2 linked regions of the Canis lupus familiaris genome follow. The protein of the gene in region 1 interacts with the protein of each later gene in a pairwise test. Links are inferred from orthologs where the notes say so. Each region holds a gene or a part of one and is shown on either strand. Other genes may lie near its edges.

What was found.
Region 2: the proteins of POC5 (region 1) and CETN1 interact in binary tests that used the Homo sapiens proteins (3 or more experiments, as listed by UniProt). The link is inferred for Canis lupus familiaris from reciprocal best matches to the Homo sapiens genes POC5 and CETN1.

Annotation. Positions count from the first base shown.
Region 1 is NC_049224.1:30,915,456-30,919,831, forward strand, and holds the start of POC5 (centrosomal protein POC5), read left to right. Parts: upstream 1-1,382; 5' UTR 1,383-1,401; intron 1,402-1,470; exon of another isoform or gene 1,471-1,841; intron 1,842-1,939; exon of another isoform or gene 1,940-2,095; intron 2,096-4,376. UniProt on the Homo sapiens protein: Essential for the assembly of the distal half of centrioles, required for centriole elongation. Acts as a negative regulator of centriole elongation.
Region 2 is NC_049228.1:67,485,389-67,488,452, forward strand, and holds CETN1 (centrin-1), read left to right. Parts: upstream 1-1,766; 5' UTR 1,767-1,822; coding exon 1,823-2,341; 3' UTR 2,342-2,516; downstream 2,517-3,064. UniProt on the Homo sapiens protein: Plays a fundamental role in microtubule-organizing center structure and function. Plays a role in sperm cilia formation.

The sequences.
Region 1 (4,376 bases):
ATGCCTTCATCTTCTTCCCTATATCTCTCTCTCCAAAAGGACACTAGTTTTGGATAGGCCCTACTCCAATCCAAAATGACCTCATTTTAACTCGATTATATTTGCAAAGACCCTATTCTCAAGTAAGATCATATTCACAAGTACAAGGGGTTAGGACTTAAATATCGTTTTTTGGAGGACACCATCCAATACATAACTGACATGCAGTTCCCAACAGAGCATACTGAATGATAAGAACATGGACTTGGAGTCTGGACTGCCTCCATTTGAACACCAATTCTGTTCTTATTGGCTGTGTGATCCTAGGCAAGCCACATAAACTCTGTGAGCTTCAGTTTTCATATCTTTAAAACAAGGATGGGTACAGCATCTATATCATAGAGATAATCTGAGAATTAAATGAGTTAATGAATATAATGCCCAGAACATAGTAACATATGTGTCTTTATTAATAAAATAAGTTCTTTACGTGTTCATCTTCAGGTCTCAGCTTAAATAAACTTTCTCAGTCAGGCATTTCCTGCTATCCCTTCTCTTCAAACATAATTCATAATTTTTTATTCACATGTGTGGGGTTTTTTGTTCCTCTTTGATGTGTCCTTTTTCCCAAGAGGGCAGACTGTGTCTATTTTGTTCACCACTCTATTCCTAGCACCAACAAAATGTTTTACATCTGATGAATGTTAGATTATTATTTGTTGAATGAATAATTATGAAGGTTCAAGCTGGCAATTTAATTATGAATTTGCAGGTGTTTGATTCTCTCTTTCTCCATCTCTCCCCCTCTCCCCTTCTCTCAGAATCTTGGGAAAAGAATCAGTTTTAAATTCCTGATATCCATATTAGGTTTGGTCTCTTTCTCTCTGTACCCTCACAGAAGAATGGAGATGATCTACCCAATGTTTTTCTATGAAAATCTACCCCCCAGGACAGAGAAGACAGAGAAGAGCAACATGGGGCCAAGAGGCAGGAGAGAAAGGGGGAAGTCCAGCAGTAAAAATTACAGTGTATGGAGTCATTAGTTGCATTTCAATTCAAAAACATATTTCAACCAGGTATGAATTCATATGCATTAGTAGGAATTTGTTCTATTTATGATAACCACGGGAGAGGGCGGGGGAGAGGAACACAAGCATAGCTCATGCCAAAGAAACTGCTGGCTCCTCTGACTTCATTGTTTGTACACGTAGAAGTCTGGCTCTGCCAACGGGAAGGTAGACGGGGCCCAGGTTATGCCATTTCTATCTACAGAAACTAACAAAACGCAGACACCTCATCCTCCCGTAACAAAGGGAGCCTGAGAACAGCCAGAGCTCATTACTTGGTCCCCAGATGGGGCTCCCCCTTTGCAACCTGGATCCTAACGTGGGCAGCATTACCCAAGGTGGCAGTGAATAGCTGGTAGAGCCAGGATACAATTATGACCCGATTATTCTAAGGTTCATAGTCACTTCGCCAGAAGGGCCTGACCTGAGGTCATTAGTAACACGCCGTCCAGCAGTTTCTTACAGTGTGGTCCGCTGACTCTTCCACCAGAATCACTGGTAGTCCTCGTTAAAAATTCTGATTCCCTGGCGCTAAGACGGAAGGAATTAAGCAGAGGGGTGGGTGTCAGGAATCCGTACTTTTAAAAAGCACCTCCAACGATCCTGTGGCAGGGCATTACGGACAAGAGGATTCTTATGCACAAGGGCCAGCACGGGCTTTGGGGGTCATCGGAGGTCATCAGCGCAGCTGGGCGCCCTCTCACCCAGCCGGGCCCAGGGCCGAGCCGAGAGAGCCCGCGGCTCAGGTCCGCGGGTCCTCATCCGCCCACGGCCCCGCCCCCTGCTGCCGCCGGCGCCGGGGGCGGGGCTCTCCCTCCAGAACCCCGCCCCGCCGGGTGCGTCCCCGGCGGCCAGGGCCCCGCCCCCGAGGCTGCGGCCAATCAAGCGGCAGGTTGCTGAAGCTCGGGGCCAATGAACAGCGCCGTCCTTTGTTCCTGTGGCTGCAACTGTCGGGCTGCTGCCGGGAGCCGCTGCTTCGGCTGCTGTGGCGGCGGTGCCGCGGGACGAGACGCGGAGTGGAGCGTCCGGCTTCGCGGAGAGCCGCGCCGGTGGGTGGCGGAGGCCGTGCGGGGCTGGGGGTGCCGCGGCCCGCGTGTGTTTGCGCCGGGGCTCCTACGCCGCGGAGCCGGCGGTACCGGGGCGGCGGGGGGGCGGTTCCGGCCCGTGAAGACGCAGGGGAGAGGCCCCCGTGGCCGACGCTTTCTTCAGGGAGTGTGATCCGGCCAGGGCCGGTGGAGCCCCCCCGCGCGTCCTCCCCGCCCCCTGCCCCTGCCGCCCCCCCGCGCCTGGTCCCCTGGATGCGGCGGACGCGCGGGGCGGGGGCGGGGGGCGGACGCGTCCCGAGCCGGGGCCTGACCTCCCTGCTCTGCGCTTTCCACCTCGATGTCCTGGTCTCATTTATGTTTCAGGCTGCTGTGATGGACACCTGCTTCATCTTCCGCCGAAATTACTTAGATAGACGTCAGCTACTTCCTTCCATGTTCAGGAGCCCCCAGTTTTCATCTTTCTTCATAAAAACTTGAAGGGCAAGGTGTTCCCCAAGTTTTTATGATGCTTTTCTTTCTGATAATTCTACCACTCTGACTTCCTTTTCTTTCAAATATTTTATTTATTCATGAAAGAGCGAGAAAGGCAGAGACCCAGGCAGAGGGAGAAGCAGGCTCCACGCAGGGAGCCCGACGCGGGACTCGATCCCGGGACTCTGGGATCACGCCCTGAGCCGAAGGCTGCGCTAAACCGCTGAACCATCCGAGCTTCCCCTGACTTCCTTTCCTGTCTTTGCCTTTAAATGTTCCTGTTTCTAGTTTTTTTTTTTTTTTTTTTTTTTTCTGTGCGTGTGTTTCTAGTTTTTAATCTCATTACAGTAGTAGGCCTTTAACTTGATTAGGGCTATAGGCCCCTCTGAACACATTTGAAGCTGAGGATCCTCTTACTAGATGAATACACATGTGCATTTATACTAAAAATACTGCATAATAAGTTGGGTGAATGGACCTCAGAATAAGAACTCTTTCTCACACTCCTCTTCTTGGGTGATCTTTTCCCCCTCCCTTTTTCAGCACTTCCCATTATGCTGCTGATTCCTCTTACTGTACCTCCAGGGCAGAAGAGCTCCCTCATTGCTTAACTCCAGAAAGCAGCATTCACATCGTGGACATAGTCCTTGTTGTGCACTGTAAAGGGTGTATACACAGCTTTACTGCAGTGCCTCACACCCAGCTGGTCTGATTTTGAACCCATTGTCTGCCCTCCCAACCTGCTTATCTTCCTATGATTCTCACCTTGGTGAGTGGCACTACTATCCGTCTGATTGCCCAAGCTAGAAACCTGGAGGCTTTACAAGAAGAGGCTGAGCATGTCATGACTTGTTTGAAACATTTCAATAACTTCTCTAGAGGGAAGCCCACATTTTTTGACTTGACACAATGATCTTCCATACTCTAGCAGCTCCTTACCTTGCCTGTTGCATCCTTAGCCAAGCCTCGCTTTGCACCCTTTGCTTCAGCCATGCAAACTCCTTATGTTCCTGGCCGGCGCACATGCCCCTCTGTGTCTTTGCTTCTGCTGCTCTAATGCCTAGCGTGTCCTTACATCTATCTCTCTTTCAGATCTCAATACCCGGTTCATCTTAATTAAAACATTCTCTGACTCCATTCCCATTTCTTCACCCTCATAATCCCACCCCATGAAAAATAGTTACTCCTTACTCCCTGCTTTGTACTGCTGTTGTTTTGGGGTCTACTAGCTTTTTTTTTTTTTTTTTTCCATTTTGTCATTCATATTCTATGTGTGTCTGGCTATCTCTGCAGATTCTAAAGTTTGTGAGGACAGAACTTCATCTTAATTCCTCACCACTGTTTTATATGTAACTCCTGTTCAGGGAATTTGAATAGTCACTACTTGTCTTTTTTTTTTTTTTAAGATTTATTTATTTTAGAGAGTGAGTGCATGTGTGTGCAAACAGATAGCGGGAGGGGCAGAAAGAAGGGGGGGGGGAGAGAATCTCTAGCAGACTCCACACTGAGCGCAGAGCCCACATGGGGCTTAGTCCCAGGACATGAGATCATGACCTGGGCCAAAATCAAAAATCAGATGCCCAACTGACTGAGCCTCCCGGGCTCCCTACTACTTGCCCTTTAAATTTATTTACTTGTTATTAAAAATACTTGTTTTATTTTTTTGGTTAAGACTTTTAACAATTTTTCTATGGTGTATAAGAATCTTTCGTTCTGTATAGTCTTGCTTTTCTTAAAATAATATTCCCAAATGGTAAGTTTCCTTAAGCAGAGAATTTGCCTACATTGTTCATTCTCTCTCGGTTCAGTATCT
Region 2 (3,064 bases), on another chromosome or scaffold:
CACTGAACATGCACAGGAGCCCTATTAGGAAGCTATATTATTACATCTACTTTGCAGATGTCTCAGCTAAGTCTGGGAGGTTAAGTGACTTTCTCAAGTCAGAGAGATAATAAGGCATGGAGTTGGAATAAGATCCCAGACTTTTTGACCTAGTTAAGAAAGCAGAGGATTTGCAGTGTTGGAAGATGGGCAATGGCAGTGTCAACTTGCCAAAGTCTACTCTGAGTTGACATGTGACAAATGCTGGGAAGCAGGACATGGGAGGAGACACAGATAAGTTTCCTTGACTTTTAGAAATCCTATGCTCAGGCCCTCTGTCCATTATGTCACATATCAACTGGGGCAGGTAGTAAGATCTAGCTGTTAGGCACATGATGTAAACAACATGTGATCACTAATTTAAAATAAAACTGAACTTGTAAAAACACTCCCAGAACAATTTTTTTTTCCCAGAACAATTTAATCTTTGGGGGGGGGGTGTCTTTTATTTGGACAATTCAGAAGTATTTTAAAATCAACAGTAATTCTCATTCACTTACTCAAGAAACAGTTATTAATCTACCTACTATGTGTCAAGCACTGTTCTAGATGCTGGAGATATAAAAACTCTTCAGTAAAAACTTTGAAAGGGCCTTCTTTGTAACTGATCAAGTAATAATAAGTTGATAGGGGGGAAAGAATGCTAAAAATGTCAGATTTTAAAAGAAAACCATTTAAAGAAATATACAACAATTCTAAAGGCAATTTCTTTATGGGCTTACTTGATAACTTTTTCCTTTCTTTTCACTTAAAAAGCTCCCAATTTTCTCTTGCCCCTTTGTTCTCAGGAAGCAATTTCTAGTTCCAACATGTACTGCAAGGTAAGCTTCCAGTTCCACTGCCAAAGTAGGGCAATCAGAGTGGGGGTTTCAGCACAGCACGCACAAGATAACAAAGTGAGAGTAATACACTGCTAGTCTTTAAAAAATACCAGAAAATAGTACTTGAACCCCCCTCCAAAAGAAAAGCCTAGTGAATGAAATGAAGACTGTTATTTGATCGTAATTATGATCGAGTATGTAAGATTGAAACACTGAAAGTTAATCATACATTTGAATAATACATTTCATATTTATTTCAACCTATGCTGAATCAGCCAATGAAATTTCACTATTTTGAGCATAATGTCAGGAGACAAACTTCTACAAATTTTATACGTAACCTTTTCCATTTTATGTTTTCCATTTATGACAAGTTGAACACATGCTGTGACTTAATATCGTCTCTCCTTCTTCCCCACATTTAATGCCAAGGGATCAAGCTCCATCTTATCCTAAATTTAGCTTTAGGTAACCTCAGACTAAGAGAGGACCTGTTGTTGTTGTTGTTTAACTCCAAGAGGGTTTTTTGTTTTGCTTGTCCGTTTGTTAATTTTAATTTGTATGGAAAAGGAAGAGAAGGACTTCCAAATAACACTATAAACCTGGCCCTCTGGATGCTTGCAAATGCGCTAGCCAGAACAGCAAGTGGCAATGCACCGTGGAAGGCAACTGTGGCTACCGGCACTTCTTGCCAGCCCACGTCTCAGCTCGTGGAAACTGGGTGATAATAGAGGGAACCGTGGGGTGCAACATGGATAAGATCTCGCAGACAGCGCGGGTGGGCGGGTGGGCGGCAGCGAGCCAGGCCTCCCTGCAGAGCGCAAGGGGAAGCTCTGGGACGCGCGAGGAGGTCCCGCGCCTGCGCTCTAAGTGGGGTCGCGCCTGCGCTCTAAGTGGGGTCCCGTCTGCGCAAGCGCAGTGACTGCGGTGGTGCCGTTGAAGGGAACAACTGCCCGAGGAGGATGGCTTCCGGCTTCAAGAAGTCAAACGTGGCCTCTACCAGTCAGAAGAGAAAGGTGGGCCCTAAGCCCGAGCTCACTGAAGATCAGAAGCAAGAAGTTCGCGAAGCATTTGACCTCTTCGATGCCGACGGAAGTGGGACCATTGACGTGAAGGAGCTGAAGGTGGCCATGAGAGCGCTGGGCTTCGAGCCCAGGAAGGAAGAGATGAAGAAGATGATCTCCGAAGTAGACAAGGAGGGCACGGGGAAAATCAGCTTCAATGACTTTTTGGGCGTGATGACCCAGAAGATGGCCGAGAAGGACACCAAAGAAGAGATCCTGAAGGCTTTCAGGCTCTTTGATGACGATGAAACTGGCAAGATCTCTTTCAAAAACCTAAAGCGCGTGGCCGTTGAGTTAGGGGAAAATCTCACTGACGAGGAGCTACAGGAAATGATAGATGAAGCCGATCGGGATGGAGATGGCGAGGTGAACGAGGAAGAGTTTCTTCGGATCATGAAAAAAACCAACTTGTATTAAAGTCGCTTTCCTCCGCAAGCCCGTGGGGAGAAGTCGTCTGGCTTGCCGAGTTCCCTGCTTCCGTTTTGTGAGCTCTTGAGTTAGAGGACTTGCTATCCTCTTACCCCCCAGTTTGTCTAGATACTTCTATTTCCAAATTTCTGGCTCAATTATAGAATTTTAAAGATGCTTTTAATGTGAGTTTTGGTTTTTGATTCTCGAAAGCAGACCTGGAGTGCTTTAGGTTGAATAAAGAGTCCTGTCGCTTCAGTTCCTGGCTCACCTTGTGCCCCGCTTTGGTGGACAACCGTTGAACTGAAGGAAGGTAGCCTGGCTTCTTGGGACAAACAGCCATGCGATTCCCTTGTCACTTCTTTGGTGGCCTTATATTATTTTGCTTCACTTAGTATGCCCTAAATTCAGCATGATGAGGTCGAATTGGCCAGTGGGTCATCCTAGCCATTACTTTTCATTTAACCGAATGTTGGTTTGAAGGAGAACTGTGCAGCCAGTTATCGGGCTCAGGAAAGGTAGTGTTGTAAAGCATAAGCTTGCAGTTGGGTGGTGGTAAATTATGTAGTTTTGACTATTCTCTGACTTCATCACTAGCAGATGATTCTTCAATTGTGCATAAATTATGTGCTATGTATTATCCAGAGCCAGATGTATACCTGGGCTACAGAATAAAATTTAATAATGGCCCAAGCAAGGCATAGTTTCCTTAAGAGATTAAGCTAACTAATG